Canis lupus familiaris: one gene and its partners. The protein of the gene in region 4 purifies or fractionates together with the protein of the main gene of each other region. This does not show direct contact. Links are inferred from orthologs where the notes say so. Each region holds a gene or a part of one and is shown on either strand. Other genes may lie near its edges.

The links.
Region 1: the proteins of USP11 (region 4) and TCEAL4 purify together in Homo sapiens (affinity purification with mass spectrometry; 3 studies listed by BioGRID, with this or other methods). This does not show direct contact. The link is inferred for Canis lupus familiaris from reciprocal best matches to the Homo sapiens genes USP11 and TCEAL4.
Region 2: the proteins of USP11 (region 4) and EIF4B purify together in Homo sapiens (affinity purification with western blotting; 3 studies listed by BioGRID, with this or other methods). This does not show direct contact. The link is inferred for Canis lupus familiaris from reciprocal best matches to the Homo sapiens genes USP11 and EIF4B.
Region 3: the proteins of USP11 (region 4) and CDKN1A purify together in Homo sapiens (affinity purification with western blotting; 4 studies listed by BioGRID, with this or other methods). This does not show direct contact. The link is inferred for Canis lupus familiaris from reciprocal best matches to the Homo sapiens genes USP11 and CDKN1A.

Annotation. Positions count from the first base shown.
Region 1 is NC_049260.1:77,556,514-77,563,889, reverse strand, and holds TCEAL4 (transcription elongation factor A protein-like 4), read right to left. Parts: upstream 3,789-7,376; 5' UTR 3,639-3,788; exon of another isoform or gene 3,638-3,638; coding exon of another isoform or gene 3,603-3,637; exon of another isoform or gene 3,585-3,602; intron 3,409-3,584; coding exon of another isoform or gene 2,808-3,408; exon of another isoform or gene 2,765-2,807; intron 2,647-2,764; 5' UTR 2,620-2,646; coding exon 1,666-2,619; 3' UTR 1,496-1,665; downstream 1-1,495. Other genes in the region: uncharacterized protein LOC111094751, read left to right, coding at 2,808-3,408, 3,603-3,637. UniProt on the Homo sapiens protein: May be involved in transcriptional regulation.
Region 2 is NC_049248.1:44,497,890-44,505,165, reverse strand, and holds the start of EIF4B (eukaryotic translation initiation factor 4B), read right to left. Parts: upstream 4,508-7,276; 5' UTR 4,370-4,507; coding exon 4,357-4,369; intron 1-4,356. UniProt on the Homo sapiens protein: Required for the binding of mRNA to ribosomes. Functions in close association with EIF4-F and EIF4-A. Binds near the 5'-terminal cap of mRNA in presence of EIF-4F and ATP.
Region 3 is NC_049233.1:5,924,776-5,932,215, reverse strand, and holds the start of CDKN1A (cyclin-dependent kinase inhibitor 1), read right to left. Parts: upstream 3,988-7,440; 5' UTR 3,868-3,987; intron 1-3,867. UniProt on the Homo sapiens protein: Plays an important role in controlling cell cycle progression and DNA damage-induced G2 arrest. Involved in p53/TP53 mediated inhibition of cellular proliferation in response to DNA damage.
Region 4 is NC_049260.1:41,025,972-41,033,285, forward strand, and holds the start of USP11 (ubiquitin carboxyl-terminal hydrolase 11), read left to right. Parts: upstream 1-3,347; 5' UTR 3,348-3,664; intron 3,665-7,314.

The DNA of each region.
Region 1 (7,376 bases), about 37 Mb from region 4:
TTACTATGCCAGCCATGCACCCTGTAACATGTACCCTTTACATGATGTGGTGAGTATGGCACTTCCTTCCTGGTGTTCTTCCCAAAAAGCATTTAATGCCTATGTAACCACAAGAAAAAAATCAAGCAAACCAAAACTGTGGGACATTATACAAAATGCCTGACCAGTACTTCTCATAAGTGTCAAGGGCATCAAAAACAAGGAAAGTCTGAGAAACTGTCACAGCCAAGAGGAGCCTATGGACAAGATGACTAAATGTAAGGTGGTAACCTGTATAGGATCCTAGAACAGAAAAAGGACATTAAATAAGATGTATCAATATTGGTTCATTGTAACAAATGCACCATACTAACATAAGATGTGAATAGAGGATACTGGGTATGAAGTATACAGAAATTCTGTACTATTATTGCAATAATTCTGTAAATCTATAACTCCTAAAATGAAAGTGTATTTAAAAAACACTAAAAGTAAAAGGCTAATGAAGAGTTGGGGGTGGGGCAGGGATCACATAGATAGATGGATCTGTTGAAATGGTAGGGCAGGGCTTAACACAAACTTCTTGAGACAATTCCCTAAGAGAAGTATCAGTAGACAAGAGATTAACAGGTGAGAACAGCACAGCATCTGGTCAGATTTTTCTGGCTCAATCTCCAGTATCTAAATCCAGTGGAGATGGCTATATGCAAAAGCACACACAAATCAACAAAAAGTCTGGAAAGGAATGTTTTCTAAAAACTTTATAAAATATCAAGGCTCTATGACAATCGGGTAATACCCACCTGAGTTAGGGTAACTGTTGTAGGTAGAGAATTCTCCATCTTTCTGTTGAGACACCGTTGCTTTAGTCCATTGTGGTCTCCAGCCCACCAGTAGCAGCTGGGGCTTCAGGAGGGTACAGAGCCCCTGAGAAGGAGCACAGTGCCCAAGAGACATGGCATTACCCTGGGGACAGTGATACCCACTTTTTATCTGACTTACTCCTGGACACAAGTGAGATGTCTTTTATAGCTCCCCTAAACATATGACAGAGTTCTGGTTCTGCTACTGCAAGGCTAAGAGTTGGAGCCAGATCAACACAGCTCCTAGTATTACCTCATCTGATCTTCTCTACAGCCCTGGAAGGCAAGTATTATCCCATTTGATAAGATGACAAGACTGTTACAGCAATGGATCTGTAGTAACGGCCAGGTTGAGTCTTCCAGCTTCCAGTCTCAAACATGAATTTTACAAAACATTTTATATACTGACCAAGGATTTTTGGTGTCTCCACTGTATTCATAAGCTAAACGAACAGTTATTTTGATTGCTTGGTATATATTGTTTTCATAATGAAAGTAATCTATGTTTTTTAGGAGAAAATATACAATGAACAAAAAAGAACAGAAAAAAAAATCAGCCACAGATAACCAGGACACAGCTTTCAGTTTCCTCTGTACATAAATCACTAAGTAAATACCTTCGTAGTTTTACAAAAATGGACTGATGCCATATATATGGTTCATCAAACTCTTCTTTTTAATTTTACAATATGCCATAAACATTTTTCCATGCAATGGACAAAAATCTACTGAAACATCAAGGGTTGCAGTTGGATAACAGAGTGATAGCTAAAGCAAGTATTAGCATAAGGTTAAAGCACAGGGCAAATGCCTGCCAAGGGCACTACACAAAAGGAATGTCTTCAAAGCCCCTCTGTGGGGCCCTGCACCCACCCCTCAGTTCCCTTGGGCCCCTCGGGTGGAAGGGGTCCTGTAAACTTTTTTGCATCCACATAAACCCCCCCAATTTCTGTCTGGTTTTCTTCACCTCATCCTCTACCCTGGCCATCTCATCAAATTCTCTTATCATCTCTTCATTGCTCAAATGCATATCGTGTATGGCCTCCTTATATTCCTTGAGGCACTGAGCCAGCCCCTTGTTGGTTTTTCTTTTGGCCTTCCTGGGTACATCATCCCCAGCTGGGCGCTTTCCTGCAGCCCTTGGTTCGATGGCTGGCTTTTCTTCTTTTGGCTTTTCCTCATTCACTGGCTTTCCCTCACTCTCTAAGTTTTCTTCTTTTGGCTTTCCCTCACTCACTAGCTTTCCTTCTTTTGGCTTTCCCTCACTCACTGGTTTTCCTTCTTCTTTTGGCTTTCCCTCACTCACTGGTTTTCCTTCTTCTTTTGGCTTTCTCTCACTCACTGGTTTTCCTTCTTCTTTTGGCTTTCCCTCACTCACCGGTTTTCCTTCTTCTTTTGGCTTTCCCTCGCTCTCCACTGGCTTTCCCTCGCTCTCCGCTGGCTTCCCCTCGCTCTCCGCTGGCTTCCCCTCGCTCTCCGCTGGCTTCCCCTCGCTCTCCGCTGGCTTCCCCTCGCTCTCCGCTGGCTTTCCCTCGCTCTCCGCTGGCTTTCCCTCGTTCTCCGCTGGCTTTCCATCCTTTGGCTTTGTCATACTTTCTGACTTTTCTTTATCCTTTAGTATTTCCTCATCTTCTGTCTTTCTCTCATTTTCTAACTTTTCCTGGTTTTCCAGAGTACAATCTACTTCGGGTTCTTCCACATCCTGTGGCTGTTCTTTGTATTCCATCTTTCCTTGGTTCTCAGTCATTCCTTCATTTTCATTGCAGAGTTTTTCCATGTTGAGATTTCCCCTCCTTTTCCTGTCCTAGGGTGGGGAGGAAGAGGAGACAAAGAGGAGACAAGGAAACAGGGCTTGGGGGTGGAATGCAGGTCTGGATAGTACTGGCATCTTTCCCCTTATCAGGGTTCCCCTGACCTGGCCCGGCCTTTCCGTGTGCCTTCTGCCCACCCTCTCCCCTCACACACATGAGCCAACCATTTCTCTGGCAAGCCCAGCCATTTTCTCTATGCTTGTTCAGCACAGCAGCGTGTATAAATGTGTTAGGAGGTGGGCAGTGGTGCCCCATATTCTGCTGGTGCTCTACCCTCCACACTCCCCACCCCCCCTGGATCCCTGCCCAGAGACCCCTTTCTTCACTGACCTGCAGGAATTCTGAGCAGATTCGTCCTTTTCTAGCCCTGCAGAGTGCTGAGAACAGACACGCAGACCTGCAGATAAGACAGGACACAGGGGCTGCGCATTCGGGTGGATGCACAGGGACTCGGAGCCCCTTTCCAGAATCCCGGCCCTTCTCATCCAACGTTTCCCTCCCCCACTTCCTCCGCCCCCCACACCCCAGCCGCCATTTCTTTTCACGCCTCCGGCGCCAGACCAGGATGTTTTCCAAACTAATTTTGGATCTCTGTGTCCTTCTTCCCCGGAGGCAACTCGCCTCCCCACTCTCGAGGTCAACTTTTTTTCTCTACGCATGGAGTGGGAAAGGGGGTTTATTTTTACTGTCTCACTGGCGGGGCGCCCCCAAGCTCACCAGCTCCGGCTCCAAAATGGACGGAGGGCAGCGAAGAGGTGAGGAGAAAGGGGACACGGGTACTAGGGGTGTCCGCTCTTCCGACCCTCCGCCGATTGGTCGCTAGCTCACCCTTTAGCCATTTTCCCACCGCCATCTCTACCTACACTCTCGCCAGCTTTTCTCAACACGGACCCCATTCCCACCCTTTTTCTTCTCCGTGTCCGTGCCTCACCCCCATCCCCCATTCCAGGGTTCCGCAGGCAGCGACGAAGGCCCTCACACTGACCTGAAAGAACCTGGAGCAACAATTAAGAGCTAGCAAACCGCTCCGGATCCGACCGCAAGGAAGAGGGCGGGCTCCCGGACTGGTGCCCAGATCTGCGCCGGGTTGGTCACGTGAGCGTCGCGTCACCGGAGCTCGCCCCCCTCCCCCCTGCCGCCCCGCCCAGCAGCCGGGGCGGGGGGCGTTGCGGGTCACCCCGCACCTCTCTGGGCAGTTTTGACCTTTTTCTCTTCTTGAGGTGATCCAAGGAATAAATTTAATAAAAACCTCAGAGGCTTTTTTAATGGGTTGAGCGGTGCGGGGGAGGAGTCTTGACCATGTTGCTCTTAATTTCCATTGAAAGAACTAGAGCCAGCCAATGAAATCGTATGAATGTGAACTTTAATGTCGTACATAGAATATTGCACTTTTATTTTCTAAAGATTTATTTTTTTATTTTAGAGAAATAAAGGGGGAGGGGCATCCAGCGACTCCCAGTTGAGCTCGGAGCCCCTACCGGGCTCCATCCCAGGACCCTGAGATCCTGACCTGAGGGGAAATCAAGAGTCTGAGGCTCAACCGACAGAGCCACCCACGTGCCCAGAATATTGCACTTTAGAAAAAAATTAGGAAACTGTTCCCCTCAAAATGAAATTATTCCTTTTTCCTGACATGCGCACATACATTTTCTAATTATTGAAATCTAAAACTAAAATTATATTTGAAGCAGAATAAAAGAACAATTTTTTTTCTAAGTGAGAGACTAAATATACAACAGACAATGACCTGATCGTACATGACAATAGAACTGAGAACCGCAACCTCTGCAGCAAGCAGCCTCAGGAAGCCAAACCACAGCCTCTGATCAACGATTGACAACCTCCCTATTTTTTGAACCCCTCTCAACAAGAGAAATCCACATATGCTCCCCAAACCAATCACATAAGATGTTCTCTTAGCCTGCTTCTAGCAACCCTATGCCAACAATCTCCAATCCGAGAATAATACTTAGTCTTCTCTTTTGCTTGAGCTAAAGTTTTTCCACTCCCTAGAGACTTCCAGTCTCTGCCAAATAAAAGTAATGGTGGCTGACTGCCTTGTTATAACAAGTTCTGAATAAGTAGTCTCTGTTTCCACTTAAGCTTTTTGTGTAGAAGGCCTTTAAAAATAAGATAACAAAGACATGAACAATTAAGGAAAACCATTGATCTATCTGAAAATGCATACCGATTTCTTAAGGGATTGGGGACATATGCACTCTTTCCTGCTCTTGAGTGGTATGGTAAAAAAAATGTTCTGAAAAGTAAGCTGGTAAATTGTTTTAAAATAAATATGAAAAATAAAATAAAATAAATAAAATAAAATAAAATAAAATAAAATAAATATGACATTTTTTTAAAATTTTTATTTATTTATGATAGTCACAGAGAGAGAGAGAGAGAGAGGCAGAGACATAGGCAGAGGGAGAAGCAGGCTCCATGCACCGGGAGCCCGATGTGGGATTCGATCCCTGGTCTCCAGGATCGCGCCCTGGGCCAAAGGCAGGCGCTAAACCGCTGCGCCACCCAGGGATCCTAAATATGACATTTTGGTTCAGTATTTCCTTCTAATATTTACCCATGGAGAGAATTAATAATGTGCTAAAACTAATCTTATGTTTTAAAAAATGCTTTGTATTTTTTAAATTCCCATAATAACTGTTTGTTATGCGTTTATTCTTTGCTGGAACTGGGAATACAGTATCAATTATGTAGGCTTTGTATGTAATGGAAAAATGGAATATCACAATTGTCCATCAGTACAGATTTCATTACATATCTTCTTAATACATTGTTTACCCTGGTTATCCTTGGATGTTTGGTTAAGAAAAATAATTAAAATGTTGGGCTCTAGAAAAAAAAGTAAAAATTATTAACTATTTATAAATCACAATTACTATGGGTGGTGGGACACAAAGGATAACCACAGGATGTGGTATTGCCCTCTAGAGAATACCACCTAAGTGCCAGGCACTGTGTTGGCTACTTTATCTTACCTAGTTTGGATTTCATTTATACCTGATAAAGGAACTCACACTTCAAGGAAGCAGAATGATTTATAAAGCTACAAGCTAAACTCAATGTGGTATTGGAATAAGCATAGCAGGAGGAATAAAACACAGAGATCCCACTAACATACCCAAGTATAAAAGTATTTAGTATGTGATAAGAATCCATCTCTGGTCAGTAGTGAAAAATAGGTTATTATGGAAATTATATTTGTATAATTAAATAGTTAAAAAATGAAGATTCTTATTTTCTGACGTAATCAAGTACTTATAAGTAAGTACAATGAAATAAAAGGCATCCAGATTGTAAGGGAAAGAAATAAAGCTTCCTTTATTTGCAGATGACATGACCTTATATATAAAAAATCCCAAAAAATCCACTAAAGAGCTATGAGAACTAATAAATGAGTTCAGGTCAATATAAGAATCAATTGCATTTCTATATGCTAGCAGTAAAAATTTGAAATGGAAGGTAAGAAAATGTTTCCATTTAAAATAGCATCAAAACAAATAAAACACTTAGAAATAAATTTATTTATTTAGACAGATAATAGGTGTTGACAAATATGTAGAGAAATTGGAACAATCACACAGTGATGGTGGAAATGTCAAATGGTGAAGGCACTGTAGAAAATGATAAAAGAAACCAATCAGAAAAGACTAAATATCATGATTTCACTCATATGTGGAATTTAAGAAACAAAGCAAATGGGACGCCTGGGTGGCTCAGTGACTGAGTGTCTGCCTTCAACTCAGGGCGTGATCCCAGAGTCCCACATTGGGCTTCCCTCTGGGAACCTGCTTCTCCCTCTGCCTATGTCTTTGCCTCTCTCTGTGTCTCTCATGAAAAATAAATAAAAAAAGAAACAAAGCAAATGAAAAAAGACAAAAAGACAAAAAACAGGCACTTTAAAAATATTTTAAAATTATTTATGCCAGAGAGAGAGAGAGCGCACAGGAGCAGGGGCAGAGGGAGAGGGAGAAGCAGATTTTCCTGCTGAGAAGAGAGCCTGACACTGGGCTCAACCCTAGGACCTTGGGATCATGACCTGAGCTGAAGGCAGACACTTAACCAACTGAGCCACCCAGGTACCCCTAGACCCTTAGATATATAGAACAAACTGATGGTTACCAGAGGGGAGGTAGGTGGTTGGGCAGGTAAAGGAGATTAAAAGTACCTTATCATGATGAGCACTGAGTAATGTATAGATTTGTTTAATCACTCTCTTGTACATCTGAAACTAATATAACACTGTACATTAATTATACTGGAGATAGGTAGATAATTGTAACTTCCCAGACATTCTACACTAAAAAATAAAATTAAAAAGACTACATATGGTATGATTCCATTAATATGAAACGTCTAGACTAGGCATATTTTTAGAGACAGAAAGATTAATAGTTGCTTAGGGCTTGGTTGGGGAAAGTTAGTGGAAAATGAGTAGTTACTGCTAATGAATATAGTTTCTTTTGGGGTGATGAAAGAGTTCTAAGATACATAGTGGTGATGGTGGCACAACTCTGTGAATAACTAAAAACCACTGAATTAGGCATTCTAAATGGATGAATTATATGCTATGAGAATCAAAACTGTTATAAAAACCTGTCATAATTTTGATAATTTCAAAGTATTTTATTATATAGATTTTTTGAAAAAAATATTTTATTTATTCATGAGAGACACTGAGAGAGAGGCAGAGACATAGGCAGAG
Region 2 (7,276 bases), on a different chromosome or scaffold from region 4:
GTAAATATTCATACAACAGATTTTACAATAAAAAAGAATGAGTACCCATACATCCCACAATGTTATAAACCCTGAAAATATGCTAAATGAAAAAAGCTAGTAACAAAAGTCTCCACGTTGTATGATTTCATTTTTATGTTTAGAATAGATAAATACAAAAAAAAAAAAAAAGAATAGGTAAATACAAATAAACAGATTGGGGGCTGGTGGTGGAAGAAATGACTTCTAATACGGCAAGGCATTTCTTTCTGGAAAGTGAATCTTGCCAAATCTTGCAGAATTAAAAACGAATAATGATCAACAAATGTTCCCTTAAAGAAACAATACCGTATAAATGCAAATCAGTCCACCTATACTAGAGTGCCTAGAACTAAATTAATTATGCTGCTGTTTAAAGCCAAGCCATGAGGTTTCATACAATGTAATATCATAATGTCCACAGGCCTCACCTTACTGCACTACAGTTGAGCACAGTAGAGAATAAAAACCAAGTAAGAGTAAGCTGCACCACCTTGACCTCACCAATTCAGTTACATGACTCAACTTCTTCATACTGACAGTGGGAGGAAAATGCCATACTGCCTTCCCCTTACCTTTCCACACTCAATATGGTTGTTGATGTAAAAACACAAATTGACTTTGGTGTGTGCACTTAAGTATACACACATATAATTAATTAGAAATATGCACTTAATTTTTAAAAAACAATACTCCGAGGTTAATTCTTTCCCCCATCTTCATAAAAAGTGAATACATTCTAAGATGCTATGAGACTAGTATGAACAAAGTGGTAGGATATACTGTCAAGCCATACACATATGGTATGTAAATTTGAACTTAAAAAGCTGTTTAAAAAAGATATATATATATTTTAAAGACTTTATTTTTATTTTAGAGAGTGTGTGCACGAGTCAGTGAGTAGGGAGGGGAGTGGAGAGGGAGAGGATCTCAAGCTGACTCAGTGCTCTCATGACCCTGAGATCAAGACCTGAGCAGAAATCAAGAGTCAGATGCTTTAACCAAGCCACCCAGGCACCCCTAAAAGTATACATATATATATTAAGAACTACATAGAAACACTATGTTTTACTTTGACACTCCTTGTATCTGCATTTAAATTTTCATACAGTTTAGTTTTGGCTTTCTGAATCTGGGTATCCTACTCCCAGAATAACATATGGTAGAGAATGGAATTAAAAAATAGTAATATAGGTAGCCCTTGCTTTTTTTTTTTTAAGTATTTATTTATTCATGAGACACAGAGAGAGACAGAGAGAGAGAGGCACAGAGACACAGGCAGAGAGAGAAGCAGGCTCCATGCAGGGAAGGGAACCCGATGCGGGACGGATCCCCAGCCCTTGCTTTTCAAAAGGCTGCATTATGCCATTTTGCTTTTATGAAAGACTTACATCATTACCTGTTTTCCCTAACTGAAAGAAACCTAGAGAGAATCTTTGCTCTTACCAAAACAAAAAACAGCATCAGGTGTTTGTTTTGCTATTAAGCCATAATGCAGGCAGCACACACTTTCAACAGTGTGCCACGTTCAAGCTCATTCCCCCAGAATTATACTCAACATCAAACTACCAAAACTTTGAACTGTCTGTGAACATCTGTGCTTTATCTTGTTAGCAAGATACACCCCAAGGTACCAGGAATGCTCCAAAAAATTTCCCTAAAAACTAATGGTCATCGCTTCTTTGCTTTATGCCATTCCAGTTTACAAAATGCTCTACCCCTGGAGAGCAGGGGAAACCTGTATGTGAACAGCATATAATGAAACTATGTTACTCTTTAAGGAAAAGCACTGTATGTAAACAACTATTCTATCCCTGTGAAAATAATTAAACAAGATGACATTTTCAAGTGCTATACAAGTGAAAGGCCTTCTGTCTTCTGTGCATACAACCACTATTTCCAATTTGAAAGCATTTGTCTCAAGTAAGGAGAGCAGTTCAATAGTCCGTTTTGGGACACTTTTGGTTCTTGAAAATCGAAGGGTCAACTGGATACTGGTATTGCTGCAAAGAATTTTTTGGTCTCATTTACAAGGGGCCTGTGAAGTTCTATCATATCAAGGGTATTTTCACTGAGAAATATAAGATATATTTTCAACAAGACATTGAGCATCATCAAGAAGTATATTGAAAATACACCAAGAATTTTAGTCTCATTAACATGGCTGTATCTGGTAATATTGGCCGCTCAACAAAACCAATGAGACTGGAAAGGATGCAAAGTGGGAAAAGTCTGATAAATACCAAATTCCCCAAGGGCAGACTGTCAGATGTAACCTCGTACTCAAGATACTGTTTCTTACACATACTACAAAGCTAAGAAGATTTATGGAACCCAAGTAAAGAGATGAGGGGCTCAAAAAGGGGGTAAACGTGGAAGAACAGAAGTGGACACCAAGCAAATCCCTTTAGTCTAGATTTCGCTCAGTTCTGTAAAATGCAGGGCACAGACTGCCAACGTGTCTTCCACCCCTAAAAAAGCCACGTTTTAGTGAAAAACGAATTATGGGCTTTTCACTAAATTATGGCACCAAGCCGTCAAGATGGCAAATCCAGGCCAAATAAGTACTCTAATTCAGATAAAGTTTTTGGGTAGATCCCCAAAATACGATCACATGGAAGCCAACTTTGTAATTTCCAAGTTGATAATGGAGGACAGTCAGGAGTCTCCAAGATTTTGACCTTGCTCTGCTACCTGCAGCCATGTGACCTTGAACAATTTAATCTTTCTCTGCTGGAGATACCACCATCTGCCCACGTTATCTAACAGAGGATCAAATGAGAACATACATACACAAGAGTGCCTGGTCAACTGTCAGGTGCTACACAAATGAAAAGTATTATAATATTCAAGCGCACCTCAATTCCCTCAACATTTTCCAAAAACATACCTAATTCTTAGTGTCCTAGGTTGACAAAGAAAATCAATTAAAAAAAATTATTTATTCATGAGAGAGAGAGAGAAAGGGGCAGAGACACACGCAGAGGGAGGAGCAGGCTCCATGCAGGGACCCCGATGTGGGACTCGATCCAGCAACCCGGGGTCACGCCCTGGGGCCAAAGGTGACGCTCAACCACTGAGCCACCCGGGGAATCCCCAGAAAATCCATTTCTAATGAGAAATGAGTATCTTAGGGATAGCAAGCAATGTTTTGCAGAACCCATGATCATGCCAGAGAAATAAATTATCATCCCCCAAACTAAAGCGAATGCTGAAAATATCCCAAAACCCATCGCCAAGTCCTTGAGAAATGCAGACTTGCAGGACACTGACTGATACTCCCTACTCCAAAGTCCTCTAAAATAAACAAACAAAAAAACAAAACAAAAAAACCCCAACTGTATCCACTAATATTTTAAAAGCACTCCCCAGTAGTTAAAAAAAAAAAAAAGAAAAAAGAAAAAAGAAAGAAAAGAGAAAGAAAAGCTGACTTCTACTATCGGACCTATCAAAATATACCAAAAATGGAAGCTGTCAAGGGATCTGATCTTGTTCACCCCCCCTCCTTTTTGTGTGTGTGTGTGTGTGGTCCCTCCCCGGCACCTAGAACATGCCTGGCTTGCTTTCTGATCAGTAAAGGCGTACTGATTAAGGAGGAGGGAAAAAGAAAAAGAAAAAGAAAAAAAAAAAAAGGCCTCCAGACCATCTGGGTCTCCATCCTCGCTCGCGCTGCTCCGACACGTGGGCGCACCGCACCGGGCTCCCCACCCCCACCCCCGCGACGTCCACCCTCGGGGAGCAGCGGGCAGCGGGCCGCACCGGGCGACAGGAGCGCAGCGAGCGCAAGGGCAGGCGGGAGGCAGAGCAAGGCCCGCGCCCCCGCCGCGCCCCCGGCCCCGCCGCGCCCCCGCCGCGCCCCAGGCCCGCGCCCCTCGCCCGGCCTACCGCGCACGCGCGCCGCGCCCTCCCCGCCGCGTTCTAACCGCCCCCCCGCCCCCACCCCACCCCCACCCCGCCCGCCGCGGCCTCGCGCCTCGCACACGTCGCCCGCCGTGCGCCCGCCCGCGCGCCAACCGCCCACGAGGAGGCCCCCGCCTCCCGCAGAGCCTCCTCCCCGCGCCCCGTCGCTCGGGCCCAAGCCGGAGGCCGGCGTTCCTCCCCGCTCCAACCTCGCGCTGACGGGGTGAAAAGGGTGTGAGGGGGAGGGGAAGGACGCCGTCCCCTCCCCCCCGACATCCCGAGGCGATAACCTCACGTGGCCGAGCCGCCAGCCCGCCGCAGCCCCGCAGTCCGAAGGAGAGCGCTGCCGCCCGTCCCCCGATTCCGGGGAGCCCGCGGATCAGGCTCGGAGGGCGGCGAACGAGCCTGGTCCTCGGCCGCGCTCGGCCGCTCACTCACCTGAGGCCGCCATGTTGGGAGAGGGAGAGAGAACGCAAAGGACCCGGATGAGGCGATCACGTGATTATAGCGGGAGCGTCGGGCTAGGAGAGGCGAAGCTGGGAGGGGGAGGGGGCGGGGCGGCGCCGCTCTGGGTTCGTAAAGCAGCGCGAGGAGGCGGCGCGGCGTCCGACGGGAAGGCCTGCGCGACATGTGGCCAAAGGGGTGGGGCCTGGGCTGTCGCGAAGTCCCTCTCGCTTTACGCAGGGCTCCGCGCGGGCGAGGGGGCGGGTCCCAGGCCCGGCGGACTTCCGGGCGGTGGGTAAGCGGAAGGGGCGGGGCCAGGCGGGCGGGACCTGGACGGCCCGGGCCGCGGGATGCTGCGCTGCGATTGGCTTTGGAGGGAAAGGGAAGATGCTGAGTTTCTTTACTTTTGGTGTTTCCACGTGTGGAGACGGATGTGGCTAAGTTACTGAACGTTTTTTTTTTTTTTTTTTTTTTTTTTGATTGCTTTTTGTCGAAGCGAAACAAACCCGGTGTCTTGCGTAAGGATGGAGGGAAAAAAAAAAAAAAAGAAGGAATAAGGAGCAAATACCGAGCAAGTTGATTGCCATGGGCTTTGACCTACGTAGCCCTTCATTTTTTGAGCTGCGTTCATCCACATGCAGGCCCTTAGGATTTCACAGCCCAGTGGCATCCTTGCCTCCTCCAGCTAACGCTGCGTTTTATTCTAGGTTATCGTGTCCCGTATTAGGATGTCATTCCAGGGAAGCGTTCGTGGAGCACCTGCCACGTGTCAGGCACGATTCTTGGCATTTCTCGATTCGACGGAAAACACAACTGCGAAGGGCGTTCTAGTCCAAGTGAAGGAAGGACAGACGGGAAGCTGTGAATGAATGTTGAGGAAGGATGAACACTTTGCAGGTGATTTCAAGGTGCTTGGATTCACAGATGATTGGGTGCGACTTTAGATGGCCCGGCTAGGGAAGGCCTCTGGGGAGGTGACGTTTAAACAGATCCCGGTAGGGATCCCTGCGTGGCGCAGCGGTTTAGCACCTGCCTTCGGCCCAGGGTGTGACCCTGGAGACCCGGCATCGAGTCCCACGTTGGGCTCCCTGCATGGAGCCTGCTTCTCCTTCTGCCTGTGTCTCTGCCTCTCTCTCTCTCTGTCGCTCATGAATAGATCAATAAAATCTTAAAAAAAGAAAAAATAAAGAGATCCGGGTTACAGATCGCCAGTGGCCTCCTGCACATCCCTAGGAAGAGCTTTAGAAGAAGGCAGAGGATGCAGGCAGGTCATACGCTCCAGGGTAGGAGCTTCCTGGACCAGTCGAGGCATTTAAGGCCTGGTAGCTGGGGGATGCTGAGGGAAGGGGAAGAGTGATGCAAGGCCCAGTGAGAGGCAGTGGGGAGTTGGGTCACGTGAGGCTTTGTAAACCAGGTTTCGGAGTTGGGATTTTATTCCTTTTTTTTTTTTTTTTTAAGACTTTATTTATTTATTCATCAGAGAGAGAGAGAGGCAGAGACACAGGCAGAGGGAGAAGCAGGCTCCATGCAGGGAGCTCGATGTGGGACTCGAACTCGGGACCTTGGGATCACACCCTGAACCAAAGGCAGATGCTCAACCACTGAGCCACCTAGGGGGTCCCTGGATTTTATTCCAAGGGGGGTGGGAAAGCATGGAAGGATTTCATGCAATTTTATGCAGTAAAGTTACACGATTTAATGTCATGACTTGAAATAAAATTTTGAAAAGGATGACTTAGTATCTTGATGTGGAAGGTGGTTACATCGGTGTATACGTAAAAATTCACAATTAACTATAGAATTATACTTTATGATTTCTGGCCAATATATTAATGTTATACATGAAGACATGTTTTGACCTAAACCTTTGTTTTATTATAGTTTTTTTTTTTTTTTTTAGATTTTATTTATTTATTCATGAGAGACACAGAGAGAGAGACAGAGGGACAAGCAGGCTCCATGCAGGGAGCCTGACGCGGGACTCCATCCCGGGACTCTAGGACCACGCCCCAAGCCAAAGGTGGCACCAAATCGCTGAGCCACCCGGGCTGCCCTGTTTTATTATAGTTTTTAAAAAGTATTTTATTTATTGATTCATGGGAGACACAGAGAGAGAGAGAGGGGCAGAGACACAGGCAGAGGGAGAAGCAGGCTCCATGCAGGGAGCCCGACGCGGAACTCGATTCCGGGACCCAGGGATCACACCCTGAGCTGAAGGCAGATGCTCAACCGCTGAGCCACCCAGGGATCCCTGCTTTTTATTATGATTTTAAACTAAAATGTTTTTGAGAGTCCCTAAAATTATGGTGGAGCTCAGCTACTGCACCTTCTATACCCGGATAAGTTGACCTGGCTCCTGTAGTCCTGGTGAGAGAAGATGGTGGCTTAGGTGTGAGTGTAGGGATGGAAGGAGACAGATGCAGATATATTTTGGAATTAGACTTGCTGCTTGATTAGATGAGAGGGGAACAGGAGAGGGAGCTATCAAAGAAGACTCCGTGTTTTTGGCATTAACACCTGGATGATCCCATTTACTTACATGGCAAAGCCTGGGGTGAGGCAGGTTCAGAGAAGTGTATAGGCTCTTTTTTGGTCATATTAGGTTAGTCCAGTACTTGTCATATTTCGATGAATTTACTTATCATCTGGGAATTTGTTAAAAGTTAGATTCCAATCTAATAGGACTAGGGAAAGGCTTACTCTGTATTTCTTCCGGTTTGGATCATTAAAAGGCAATGTTACTTGAAAATTAAGAAAAAAAGCATTGGCCTTTGGGGACAGTAGATTTTAGAAAGTTCACAGAAAAGCTAGATGAGGCAGGGTCATGTGGGTTAGGGAGAGACTTATAGTGACCAAGCACCTAATACATCCCAGGAGTTATATCAAACACTTAACAAACTAGCTTATTGCATTC
Region 3 (7,440 bases), on a different chromosome or scaffold from region 4:
CTCTGGGCCTCAATTTTCTCATCTATAAAAAAATGGGGCTGTGCAAGCATGCTCAAGCAATTGGTCAGGGAGTCCCTTCTAGCAAGGCAATAGAACAGAGGTGGAGGCTCTATCCTGTAGTTAAGAGTGAGGGCTCTGGAGCAGGACTGCCTAGGTTGGAATCCAGGCTCCGCTGGGTGACCCTGCACAAATAGCTTAACTTCTCTCAACTCTATTTGCCTCATCTGTAAAATGGAGACAGTAATAGTGAATGTCTCAGAGGACAGATGTGAGGATTAACTGAGTTAACGTAGGTAACAGGCAGAGAAGCAGCTGGTATATAGAAGCTGGTATATAGAAGTGTTATTATTTCTCTGTGTTCAGTTCTGGCTGAGTCTTCCCCCCCTTCCCCCACCACCACCTCCTTCAGACAGCAGCTGACAGGTGCTGTGTGCTGGGGGCCTTTCCCAAGGATGTCATCAGGCGGGAGGCCTGGAGGTGAGGAGGGGCTGGGCAGGGCAGGCCAGGGTGATGATTTCTCCCAGGCTGAGCCACATCCTGCCAGGCACATCAGGTGATCTGAAGTCTAGACAGCCTGGAAGCCTCTGCCTGTGTTAGCTGCATCTGAGGAACCCGTTTTGCGGGCAAAGAAAATTAGAGTTGACCGGTCTACCTGGTTCCTCTCCTTTCACTTCAGAAGAGGGAAAACCGAGGGTGAGTTTGCTCATGACGAAGTGCTGGCACCTACCTGCCCTGCTCTGGCCTGACTCCAGGGCTGAGCGGCTTTGCAACCTTGGCAGGGACTGGCTTTTCCCCCGAGGACAAGTCCTGCTTTGCAGGCTCTGAGGGTGAAAGCTCTGCTGAGTGACCTCCTGGGGCAGGAAGCCCTGGACCCTTGCCACAGCTCCCCCTCCCCACCCCACCTCCCACAGCTTATAGGAGAGAGGACACATTAGGTGACCTCAGACCAAGTTTAAAGGGCAAGCGTTTAGAGAGATACGAGGCTTGCCCCCAAATCAGAAAACTAAAAAGGCCAAGGGCCACTGCCCCATAGAGGGGTTACACAGCACAGTGGGCGGAGCCCTCAAATAACCTTCACCCACTCTCTTTAGGGCAAGCATCAGGATTTATTTATATATTTTTATGTGCCAGGGGCTGTTCTAAGTTAATAAATATTAATTTTCCTAAAGAGTGGGTATATTGGTCTTTTTTTTTTTTTAACAGAAGAAGTAACTAAGACCTCAGAGAAGTAAAGTAACTTGCCCGAGGTCACATGGCTCACAAGTGGCACAGCCAGGATTTGAACCCAGGCCTGTTTATCCTGGGTTCCGTGCTCTGGTGTTCATCCTTACTCCCTCTCTAGTTTTGTGTTCCTAACCAGAGGCCCAGCAGAATCACTTAGGGAGCTTTTTAAAAAATACAGGTTGATAGGTCCCTCTCTTCCCAGAATAACTCAAACTAAAGGGGATTTAAGCCCCTGGTTGGCTCAGCAGTTGAGCATCTGCCTTCGGTGCAGGGCCTGATGCCGGAGTTCAAGGGTAGAGTCCCACAGCCGGTTTCCCGCAGGGAGCCTGCTTCTCCCTCTGCCTGTGTCTCTGCCTCCTCTGTGTGTCTCTCATGAATAAATAAATAAATAATCTTAAAAAATAATAAAATAAAGGGGATTTAAGCAGGTGTTTGGCAGTTCCCCATATGGGCACTCTTGGGGTGCCTTTCAAGAGAGGATACACAGGATGGCCTCACTGGCACAAGGAGGAGGAGCCTGCCTTGGCTTTTCACCAGGAGGCTGAGTATTCCCAGGCTTCTAGGCGCTCAAGATGGGACCAGAATCCAGGCAAGGATCCTCTCTCCTACCACCCTATGGCCCTCATAGGCTCCTCATCAAAATCTGATCTCATTCCCATTATCGTAACTCCCAGTTCAGAGAAAAGTCAAATATAAACCCTTATTTCACAAACAACCGAGAATAGCATCCTTGGTTGGCCTTCGTGTCTTAGACTTCAGCCAGTTTTAATTCCGAAGTAACCAGTAAGCACTGAGCACCCCGCGATGAGCCAACGGGTCATGCTTTTTCAGGGGCGTTCGCAGCTGCGGCTCAGGCTCAGCCGCGGCGCAGCGAGGCGGGAAGGGAAGGCGGGCTTGCTACTCGCTTCGGGGCCGGACGGGGGCGCCGGTCTCCAGGAAATCACGCGCAGGGTCGGCGTGTGGGCAGAGCCGCGAGCCGCCGCCGCGAGCAGCGATGAGTCAGTTTCCTGCGGAGCGCTCCCCGCCCGCCACAACTCTGCGTGCGCTCGGGCTGCAGCGTCACCCTCGGGTGGGGAGGGGAGGCGGGGGGCGGACCGGGGGGCGGACCGGGGGCCGCGAACACGTCACGCTGAGCCAGCCAGGCTTCCGAAAGCCCCGCCACTGTTGGAAAAACGCGCGCGCCTCCGTGACACACACACACACACACACACACACACTCCGCACGCAGAGGCGCGCAGAGGTTTGGTCCCTCCACCTTATCTCCACGCCCAAAGCACGGGATGAGTCAGATCCCTGGAAAATAAAAATAGACGAAAGCAAGGAAAACAGAACCGCTCGACAGTCCTCGAACCGCGACGTGGAGGCAGGGAAGGGGGGGCAGGGAGGGAGCCGCCCGGGCACCCCAAAGCGCCAAACCCAATTCCAAGATTCTTTTCCGCAAGAGGCGGGCGCCCGTGTCCCCCGAGGGCCCCCGACGGGGGGGGGGGTGCACGGTGGCCCGCGCTGGGCGGCGGCGCCCAAAGGACGGCTCGTCCTCTCGCTGCGCGCTGAGCAGTCGCCCTCGGACAGGGCAGTTTGGCGAGGGGCGCCGGGAGCCCCCGGATGTGGCCGTCAGGGTGGGACCAGCCTCCAGATGGGACCTCTCCGGGTCCCTCGCCCCGCGCGTGGGCTGCACGCCCCGCGGCCCCGCGGCGCAGGTCTCCCCTCCCGCTGCGGAATGCGGCGCCCCGACCCCAGGGCAGGCGGGGCGCGAAGGAGGACAGGTGTGTCCGACCCCTGTTCTTCTCCCACGGGCCGGCTGGAGCGAGCCCAGCCCGCGCAGGGCCACCGCTCCGGGTCCCCGAGGGCGCGCTGCGAGGCGGGGACCGGACACCCAGTCCTGGACCTCCCGATGTCCCGGCTTCCCTGAGAACACTTTGTGCCAGCCAAACAGTCACTGTGCCGATCGGGGCACAGACACCCGGGGCGGGGAGGAAGCCGACTTCTGGGGCGCCACTGTCCCCCAGCCCGGGCGGGGCTCTGACCGCACCCGTCCCATTTCCCGGGGTCTCCTTGTCACCGTGAGTCACCTCCTCGATTGCCCTGAAAGGATGTGTCCCAACACGTTCCCAAGGACCGGGGGGGGTACGCCGCCCGCGCTGACCTCAGCGCCCAGCCGGTGGCGGACGCGGAGGCGTCGGGGACCCCGGCCGCAGGGGTCTGGGCGGAGACGGCGCGGATTGGATCGCAGCCGCCGGGAGCGGAGGGCGGTGAACCTGCCGGGCTCGGCGTTCCCCGCCCCTCCGGGGGCTCCGCGCCCGGGGGCTCCCTCCGCGCGCCGCCGGGGGCCTGGGGCGCGCGAGTCCACGCCTCCCCTGGCTCCAGGGCGGGGGGCGCGGCAGGGGATCCCCCGCTCTGCTGCGCTCCCGCCGCCCCGGGCTTCCGACACAGCCCGACCTCCGGCACAAGCGCACCTTCCGGAGACACCCGTGGGAGCCGAGCCCAGCCCCACGCGCCGACCCACGCACGTCATTCACCTGTGAAGACGGCACGCGCACGCACACACTCACCCGCTGGGACACTAACACACACACACGAGGCGGACACCTCGGCCGGGCTCCGAGCCGCCGGCCCAGGCCCCCTCGCCGGCCACAACGCCCTCACCTCCTCCGAGGGTCTCCGGCTCCGCGAATCCGCGCCCGCCTCCGCTCTCCAAGCCACCGTCTCCCGCAGCAGCTCGCGAGCTGGCACCGCCCGGTGCCGCCTTATATAGGGACCGGCCGCCCCGCCCCCAGGCCTGGCACCGCCCCTTCTGCCGCCGTCCGCCGCCGCAGCTCGCAACTCGCCGGCGGCTGGAGACCTCCGAAGTCAGACGCCTACACCGCGGGCTGCAGGGGGGCGCTTCCCTCCCCGCCCCGCGCCCCGCGCCCGGCGCCCCGCGCCCCGCGCCTGGGTCCCTGTGCTTGACATGTTTCCCCACTAACTGAGCCACAGACCGGGGTTGTTTTCGCTGGGTTGGGAGTTGGCACTCCCCACGAAGGGATGGCATTCTTAGGATGAGCCCTTCTTCTGGCCCCGAGAAGATCACGAGGGGTGACATTCATAGATAACACTCCATAAATAAAAGCATAAAGGATGTGCCTCGCTCGGCGATTTCCAGAAAAGCCCACTATACCGCCAGTCTTCCCACAGACCCCTCACTAGACCGCCTCTTCCCAAGCACCCAGACACGCCAACAAAGCATCTTGGAGACCAGAACCGGATTCGATCCCCCTTCTTTCACAGATGAAGAAATTAAGGACCTCAGGACTAAACGGATGCAAAGTTGTTGCTCGCCCAATGCCCCCGGGGAAGGAGGGAATGGGGAATACTCAGAAAAGGTCAACCAGGTCTCCAGGGGAAAGCAGGAAATGGGGGAAATTGGACATTGAACCAACCTCCCTACCCCTCCTCCTCGTGCCCACATCCACCTCCTTCTCACCTCAACAATAGAGATCTCTATGATTGCAACAGATTTTTTTTATTTTTTTATTTATTTATGATAGTCACACACACAGGGAGAGAGAGGCAGAGACACAGGCAGAGGGAGAAGCAGGCTCCATGCACCGGGAGCCCGACGTGGGATTCGATCCCGGGTCACCAGGATCGCGCCCTGGGCCAAAGGCAGGCGCCAAACCGCTGCACCACCCAGGGATCCCGCAACATATTTTTTTTTTTTAGATTTTATTTATTTATTTATTTATTTATTTATTTATTTATTTATTTATTTATTTATGAATGAGACAGAGAGAGAGCAGGAGCAGAGGAAGGGGGAGAAGTAGGGAGAGAGGTAGAAGCAGACTACCTGCTGAGCAAAGAGCCCAACTCCAGGCTGGATACCAAGACCCCAAAATCATGAAGCAAAGACAGATGCTAAACCAACTGAACTACCCAGGCACCTCTGATTGCAACAGATTTGATAGCTAGGAAGGGGGAAGGACTTGGTTAGCAAATTATCTCCTGGATATTCCCCCGCACAATCCGCTTACGCTGCTGGGAACACTGAGGCTCAGAGAAGTTCAGTGACCTGACTCAGGTCACACAGCAAATAAACAGCTATAATTGGAGCATAGGCCCAGTGCCTCTCAGAGCTCTCTGCTCATTGCCCTCTCTATTTAAGTGGCTCTAGAAAGAGGGAAACCCCCAGCACTCCTCATTTTCAGGCAGTGTACTGAGGTGGCATTGATGAAAGACAATTCTGGAAATGTCCACTGGTGCTTGCCGCTGGTACAAAAGCAAGCGAGGTGCCCATTTCCTCCCACCCACTTGCCACCACTAGCCCCTCTTGTACTTCTTTTTTGCCTCCTTCTTTCACTTAATATAGTTGTAGTTTTGCTTTTAAAAAATTGCGGGGAACAGAGGAGGGTGCCTGGCTGGCTCAGTCAGGAGAGAATGTGACTCTTGATTTCAGGGTCTGACTTCAAGCCCCTTGTTGGGCATAGAGCTTACTTTTAAAAAATAAAAGAAATATAGGGAGCCTGGGTGGCTCAGGGGCTGCGCATCTGTTTTGGCTTGGGTCGAGATCCTGGGGTCCTGGGATCAAGGCCCACATCAGGCTCCCCACAGGGAGCCTGCTTCTCCCTCTGCTTATGTCTCTGCCACCTCTCTGTGCCTCTCACGAATAAATACATTTAAAAATGTTAAAAAAAATAAAAGAAATAGAATAAAATAAATTTTTAAATCTTTAAAAATACATTTCAAAGAATAGAATGCTACTTTGAACAGAAATACCACTAAGAAATAGATCCCAGGCTTGGAGCAGCTACAATTACTGACATCTAGGACTGTTCAGTGTCTGGAAATCTCTGCCCAGACATGCCCCGTTTTCTTCCTCTAACACAGCTGACCTCAGGGAGGACAGGTCTTCTCCTCTACTGCTGGCATAGGAGCCCAGGTAGGGGTGCAAGGGCACAGCACCAGACTCCCTTGCCTGCCTGATGGTGGATTCAAGCCAGGACTGCAGCTGGATCTCAGGGGGGGGCCACACAAAGGCCAAGACCCCAGGACCAATCCCCTCCTCCCTAGCTCCTTTCTTCATACCGCACCTCCCTCCATCCCCAACATACACATACCCAAAGGCTGCACTGTCAAATGTTCAGCAGAGGACAGGCATATCCTCCTACTGCCTTGAATCCCTTTGTCTCTCAAGCATCTCAAATAGACTTGACATTGTCTGTCTGTTTACTTTGGGGAAAAAAAATTTTTTTTTAAAGAGGCTTGTGTTGAATTATTTAAAATTTTGTGGTACTGAACTTCACAATGAAATAATTCTTTTTGTTGTTGTTGGGAAGTGAGTTTTGTGGGGTTTTTTTATTTTTTTATTTTTTGGGTTTTTTTTTTTTTAATGAAACTTTTAGCTCACCACCACCACCATCACAACAACAACAACAGAATTCAACAAATATTTATTAGGCACAGTACTAAGTGTCTGATACTGTTCAGTACTTAAAAAAAATTTCCAACCATACACTTGAGTGTATACCCAGGCATGCCCTTAACAAGGGACTTCTGCTATGAAGGGGGCAAAAGAACAGATTGTTAGAAGTCACACAGGAGAGCTGATGCAAAAAAAAGTGTGCAAAAAACACACACACAGACACACACCCTGGATCCCAGGCCAATCCCAAGGGATCTGCAGCAAAACACATATTTCTGTTCAGAGAAATTCAAACCAAGTCTCCTTGGGGTCTTTGGGGGGTCTCCTGTGTCCTGCCATCCCCCTCTTTACCCCAAAGCAGGCAGCCCGAAGGACAAAACAGCAACCAGCCCCTTCTACCCCAGTGCTCAACATGTTGGGACATGTTCCTGAGGTCTGAAGGACTAGTCGGGGCTACAGTCTGCTGCCCGGGCATGCTCCCTGGGAAGGACGTGGCTCGGGGATGGAGGGAGGCTCTGTCTGGGGACAAGAGGTTTCAGGTCAGCCCCCACCAGGAGGGAGGTGATGACAGAAAGGAAAGCTGGGAAGCTCAAGTCTGAAGGAGGATGTAAGGGTGGCTACTGGAGCTGCCCAGGAAGGGAGAGGAAGTAGTAGGAACAAGGTCGCCATTTCTCAGAAAATGTTTGGGGAGTCCCAAACCGGGGTACTCGGCTTACAGAGGAATTTACCTCCACACAGGCTCCCAAGAAGGGAGACCCCAGAAAAAAGACAGAACAGAAATATTTATTGCACTACTGAGCAGAAGTCCTGCTTCTTCTTCT
Region 4 (7,314 bases):
ATGACTGAAAGCCATCTGAGGGGTTGCACACACAATAGTGGAACATTTTTGTTGAAGCAGGTAGGGCAGGCTGAAAAGAGGATGAGCTAAGAATCCAGGAGAAGAGTGAGATTTACCCAAGAATATGAGAATGCCAGATAGTGTGGGGACAGGTGTATGTAGAGGGACTGTGAGAGACACTTGGAAGACTCCGTTAAACCAAGAGGTGAGGCAGGGAGGACCAGTATGACCACACATCAGAACTGGACACCATGAGGCAGGCCAGGTGGAGAGAGAGTATGAGAGGAAGGATAGATTTTTGGACCACTGAGTAGGTAGGGGAATCATAATGGATCAAATTCAGGAATGGAGCCACTGATGGATGGAACTGGAAGTTTGGATTATTGGTGTCCAGGGAGTAACAGAAATCCTGAGAAGGATGCAGCGGCTTGTGAGAGGCCAAATAGCACAGCCTAGAACTTGGACTCAAGTGTGAGGATAATGGGGGCTTTGATTACCTTTGTCCTGGGAGTTCTGGCCTCTGTCCCAACATCTGGGCAAAGCCAAGGACAGCTTTTCAAACAGAAGAGGTGGGGGTGGGCAGGGCCAGGCAAATACTGCAGGTAATAAACCTAAGGCTGGTTACTGAAGTCCAGGGGTGGTGGCCCAAGAACTTCTAATCATTCCACTGTGCCCCTGTAAACATTTTGGTGATCTCTCGGTTTGCAGCCTTATGGTTGCATGACAGCTGCCATGTTCCCAGAGATGGGGAAGCAAGCGAGGAAAACCGGACACCCTATTTCCTTGTAATAGGGCTGAACCTTCCACAAACTTCTTAGCAGACTTCTCGAGCCATTCTATGGCTAGAATAAGATGATATGGCCACCTCTGGCAGCAAGGGATGCTGGGAAAATGAGGACCCTGCAAAGGGAGACAGGATTGCCAAACCAAACTTAGAAAGGCTGGAATTTACACATCTGCTCTGGGAAGTGGTAGGGTCATTGCTGTGTGCAGAGGTTGGCCTTTGGAAGGTGAGGAAACCAAACAGTCTAGGCCTGGGAAGGGAGGCCTCTTGAATTGTAGGAAGGACCGGCTATCCAATAAATGGGGAGGGAGAGTCTGCAGAGGGGCAATGAGGAAAGGCAATTCAGAGGACCTGACCAGATTAAGCTGGGCTTCAAAAGCAGCTACTTGCCATGTGCCAGACCAAATTCCATGCCATTATAGAGAACCCTGGATGAAAGGGTTGTTCTCTTTCCCTCCCCAGAATTTACACAACTGAGTTGTAACCCCACGGCTGTTCAGGTCTGGGCCAGGGGCTGGAATCACAGTAATAAAGACAATCCCTGCCCTGTAGAGGTTAACTGAAAAGAGTTATGGTATCTAGTGGATGGGTGGGATTTGAAATTGTTCAGGGAGAGGTGAGGGTATTCTGGACACTCCAGGCCCAGGGAGCTGTGTGCACCAGCCTAGAGGTATAGGAAGGCAAGCTGTGTGGTCTTGCTTGTGGGAATGGGTCACTGAACCAGAGCCAGAATAAGTCACTGAACCAGAGCCAGAATCATGAGCCCATCTTGGGGGAGTATGTGAGACGGTCAGGTGGGGCAGCCAACACAGGTAGATAAAGAGAGCCAGAGTGTGAAATGCTAAAGTTATCAACAAGAGGTAGGGCTAGAAGCCTCAGCAGAAAAGGATGGCAGAGCCTAGTGAAGTGGTTCTCAACCAGAGATCTCCACCCCCAGGGAACACTGGCAACGTCTAGAGACACTTTTGGTGATGAGACAATTAGGGGATGATACTGCTATCCAGTGGGTAAAGGGCAGGGATGCAACTAAATATCCTACAATGCTTCCCACAACAGAAATGTCAATAGATCTTGATTGAGAACTCCTGGCCTGGGGCAATGGTTCTAAACTTTTTGGTCATGATCTCTTTAATAGTCTTAAAAATTGAGGACATCTAAAGAGCTTTTGCTTATGTAGCCTCTCAGAATATTCCATCACACACGCAAGACAGCTTGACAATGAAAAAGTATTGTGAAAATAGTTTTGACTTTGTGAATCCTCCTGAGAAGGTCTCCTGAACCAGTAGGAAGCCTAAAACCACAGTTTGGCCTTGTGCTTAAGGTCACAGCTCTGAGTTCGAACCACAGCTCGGTGTTTTTTACTAGCTGGGGCAAAATGAATGTTTCTGGTCCTCACTTTGCCCCTTTGATGTCCGTAGGGGACGGTGATGTTCATCTGTTGCCTAAGGCTACCTTTTACGTGCAATAAAGCATTTAAACAGGGCCAACTATTATTAGTTATCATTGCTATAATGCCAACAAATACACTGGGCCTGAAGCTGACTTGCCTTCAACACGTTTGTCAGGAAAATAAATCTAGTTCAGGCAGGGAAGCAGCCCGTAGGCTTGGGTGGTGACCTTTTTTGTATTAGGTTCTGATGGACAAGAGCAGCGCAGTGAATAGGGCATTCTGGTCAGGCTAACAAAAACTCTCAGGGTAGGGGCCGTGGTTCCCAGCAAAGCATGGGACCGAGAAAGCGCGGAACCTTCGTGTCCCTGAGCACTCCCCAAAATGTCCTCGTCCATAACGGGACCTCAGCCTCCACCTTTCCACACCACCTTTTGCCCTGACTCAACATGGCTTTAAAATCCTACAAGGCACCTTTGTCTTCCTTAGTCCCTAACTGGAGGTTTTGCCCCGCCCATTGGCCGCAGGGATCACCGCCCACAGTCCCACGCCCGCCTAGCCGGTCCACGCGTGCGAGCGTGGGGTCCCTTTCCAAGATGGCAGTAGCCCCCTGGCTGTTTGGGGGGCTCTGTTTCCGTTTCCGGGACCAGAATCCGGAAGTGGCCGTTGAGGGGCCTCTTCCTATCTCCAGCTGCGGTGGCTGTGAGAGGAGGGCGAACGGTGATGGCGGCGGTCGCAGCGAATGTGGCGGCTGCGGCTGAAGACCGAGAGCCGCAGCGCGAAGCGGTGCCGGGCCTGGAGAGCCAGTGGCGCCAAATCGAGAACAGCGAGAGTGGGCGAGAGCGTCCACTGCGTGCGGGCGAAAGCTGGTGAGACAGGGCTGCGAACGGATCCTCGGCTGGGGGAACGTGGAGGCTGAGGTCCGAAGAATTGCTGTGGGGGTGGGGGAGTGGCCTGTGAGACTGAGGACGGGAGGGGCGGGGAAGTGCCTGTGAGTGGATCACCTTGTCTGGGGAAAAAGGCGGGGCCTGTATGGTGGTGCCCCAGGCCTGAGAACTGGAGGTTTGTTTTGGAGAGGCGAGGGGGTGGGGCCGGGAGTGCGTGATGGAACTCGCAACCTGGGAAGGGGCGGTGCCCGAGGCCGAGGGGCGTGGTCTGCGTGGCGTTGAGTAGCATCTGGCGGCGGGGCGGCCTGCGGTTTCTCCGCGCCTGAGAGCTAGGCGGGGATGACGTCAGGCAGAAGAGCGGAATCCGAGCCGTGGGGCTGTGGGCGGAGGGAAGGAGTCGGAGCCTGCGTGGTGGAGGGAGCTGGCGCCTGGGAACGAGGCTTGTGACGGACGCTGAGGGGCGTGTCCTGAGGCCAAGGAAAGACTGCAGAGGGGAGGTAGTGCCTGTGAAGCAGAAAATGGCGCCTGCGAATGAGCAAAGTTTGTGACGCGGCGAGGTTTTTGCCTCTGGCCGAGGCCTTCTTCCCAGGACGGGAGAAAGTGCAGGTGATTGGCACGGGAGGGGCCTTCGCTATTACATTTGTTTTGTGTTTTAGTACTGCTTCGTTTTTGTAATCAGGAGAAATAGTTATTTTAAAAAATGTCAGTGCGTGTCTTGATAAATTGGCTTGTTTTACTGATTTCTTGGCTAACCAGTACTTGAAATACACTGTTTCTGGGTTTATTTTATTTCTCGCCAAGTTGCATCTCATTTTTTAAATTGTGATATACGTAAGACCTAAAAAGATTGCATAAAACGTTTACGTAGCCCAGATTGATGGACATTCTGTAAAAATAAACGGCCTGTGCTTTTCAAAAATTTCAAGGTCGTGAAAGACAAAGGATGAAGAACTGTTCCAGATTGAAGGAATTAATGGGATTTAAAGAATCATAACTAAATGCAATGTGTGATCCTGCATTGGATCCCGGAGCAGAAAAATAAATTATTTAAAAATCAGGATTTTTCTCATAAGATTGATTTCTCTTTTTTTATTGTAAAAGATGTTAATGGGAAAATTGATGAAATTTGACTGAGGCTTGTAGATTAGATATTAGTAGTGATAATTTCTTGCTTTGGATAATTGTGGTTATGAAAGAGAATTTTTTTAAGGGAATACATGCTGAAATTTTTCGGATAAAGAACCATTGTGTAAGCCGCTTACTCGCAAATGGTCGGGAAAAAATAGCGTATGTAAAGATGTATTTAAAGAAACGATGAGGCAAATGGCTAAAATGTTAAATTTGGGAAATGTGGATGAAGGGTATACGGGAATTCTTTATATTATCTTTGCAATTTTTTTCTGAGTCTATTTCAAAGTAAATAAAAGAATAATAAAAATTTGTGAATTCACCATTCAGGTTAAGATTTCAGACCGTTAGCTTAAGAAATCTCCTCCCTGATGGAAATCCCTCTCCCTGCGCCACTATTATTCTGAAGTTTTCAATTTGTTAACATTTTTCCGCTTTTGTATGCATCCCTAAATAGTATTTGTGGAAAAAAAAATAGTATTTGTGGTCTAAGCTTTCATTTCATGGAGGATATATGTGAAATCCTATGCCTAGAGGCGTACCGTGTGCCCTTTGCATCATATCAGGTGGTATACGGTATCCACATTACGTCATTGGTGACGTTAACCTTGAACATTTGGTGAAGATGGTATCTGCCCTGTTTCTCCACTATAAAGGTAGTATTTTTCTCTTTCCGTATGCGGTAATTCTTTTAAAAACATATTATAGCCATTCATTCCTCAAAACGTTTTAACAGCGTCCCATCGTGCAGTGTAAATGCTAAAATTCTTACAACGACTAGCAAGTCTGGTCCCCCTGCTCTGATTACCACTGCCCACCCCCCCAACTCTCTCCATCCAGCCATATTGGACTCCTGTTCCTCAGACACCGCAGGCATGCTCTCACCTGAGGGCTGTTCTGAGTGAGTTTTGCTTATTTTAGAGTTCTCTAATCACAATGTGTTACTCTCCCTGTTACTGGAGAGTTCAGAGACAAATTGAAATTCCCCAAATAGAGAATACGAAATCTTTTTTTTTCTTTTTTAACTGTTGTGCTGTAGCTCTCGGGCAAGGAAAAGCCTCATTCCACCCTGTTGAAAATAAACAATAACTGGATCATCTTTTATAGTTTATTTGGATGTGTTCAAACAGGGTTGGGGGCTTTGGTTCCTGATGCATCATGCCTTTACAGCCTCCTTGTGACAGTACCCTTTAGTTACCCCACCGGTATGGATTTCCTTTTTTGGGTGTTGAAAATGTGTTGGAACTAGATAGAAGTCACGGTTGCACAACATTGTGAATGTACTAAATGCCACCAAACTGTTCACTTGAAAATGGCTAATTTTATGTGAATTTTTAAAATTATGTTCTGTCAAATGAGTGAAAATATCAGTGAGGATGACAAAACATGAGAGACACCTAACTCTGGGAAATGAACAAGGGGTAGTGGAAGGGGAAGTGGGCGGGGGGTTGGGGTGACTGGGTGATGGGCACTGAGGGGGACACTTGGCGGGATGAGCACTGGGTGTTATGCTATATGTTGGCAGATTGAACTCCAATAAAATAAATAAACAAATAGAATTATGTTCTGTCAATAAAAAAAATTACCCCACCAATGTTGGTTCAGTATTAAAGCCAGTTTATCTCTGCTATTGTAGCTGATACCATGAAGCATTTTTCCATAGCTCCATTTTTTAAATGCTTATCTACTTAGGTGAGAGCAAAGCATCTCAAGGTTCTTTAATTTGTTGTTCATTTGATAGAGGTTTGCTGCAGTGGTCAGGAAATTTGTGTTTACAAAGTCACAGACTAATAATCCTCAAATCATATCTAATACCAATATTAATATTTTACACCTTCTTTTCGTCAGCTGGCAGATCTGGGCAAGGGGAAGTAATTTGAACTGATTTAAATCTCTAGGAGAAGCTTATATTTTAAGAGTAAATTAATATCTGTGATAGTATAGCTTCCTTGGCAAATTCCAGTTTTTGAGGATGAACCATCTACAAACATAATTAAATCTGAACTGATTTAAATCTCTAGGAGAAGCTTATATTTTAAGAGTAAATTAGTATCTATGATAGTATAGCTTCCTTGGCAAATTCCAGTTTTTGAGGATGAACCATCTACAAACATAATTAAATCAGGGAGAGGAAAGGGAGTCTCTAGATGGTTTGTGCAGGGTGTGGGTAGTTTTCTAACAGGTAAGCAGCAGGCAAGAGATTCTTTGTTCAGGTAAAAGAAGGAGTGTGGCTGGGTTCAGTGTTGCAGAGTGGATAGTGATGTGTGAAGGGAAAGTGACAGTGTTCCATTAGAGGTGAAGGACTAGCCTTAGAAATGTTGAGCCTTTTCTGTCAGTGGAGAAGTCTGTACAACATGGAGGACCATTTTAAGTGTAACGAAGATGCTAGAACTAAATCAACAGTTTTCACTTCTTTGGTGATTGCTGCGTAGCTCTTAAACAAGGTGGCTATCCCTTGATTTCTGGATATAATGAAAGACTGAAATAAACAAAGACTGGCAATTCCCTTGTCATTGAGTTGGTCCCCCTAGTGCTTGTTCAGACTTTTCATGAACTGGGGGGAGAGAATTTATGAGTTTAGAGTCCTGGAGTGGGAAATCTTTTGGTAGACAGTAAATGTACCAGTCTTTGTTGCTTGAACAGGAGTATGCTTTTTAGCTTGAAAAATAGGCAATTATTGAAAGATATTTGTGTATCTAATTATAATTAATATAATTAAGCTAGGAAGATAAATTTGCTTTTTGATTTGTCATTTTTAAAAAACATTGTTTGTTAAAGAGTACATTATGAACACTGAGTAACGTATATAGAATTATTGAATCACTATATTGTGCACATGAAACTGAGTTAACTATACTAGAATTAAAATTAAAAACTTAATAAAATTGAAAGAAAATACTAAGTTTGGAAAATAAAAGAGCTTTTATAAAAGTTTTAAGTTCATTGAAATTTGGAGAATTTTAATTAAACTTAATTATGCCTATTGCCATTCCTTTTATAGGTCAAAGGAGCAAATCTTTGTGTTATCTCTCAAACATAGTTTAGCCATAAAAGAACATTTTTTAAAAGATTTTATTTACTTATTCATGATAGACATAGAGGGAGAGGCAGAGACACAGGCAGAGGGA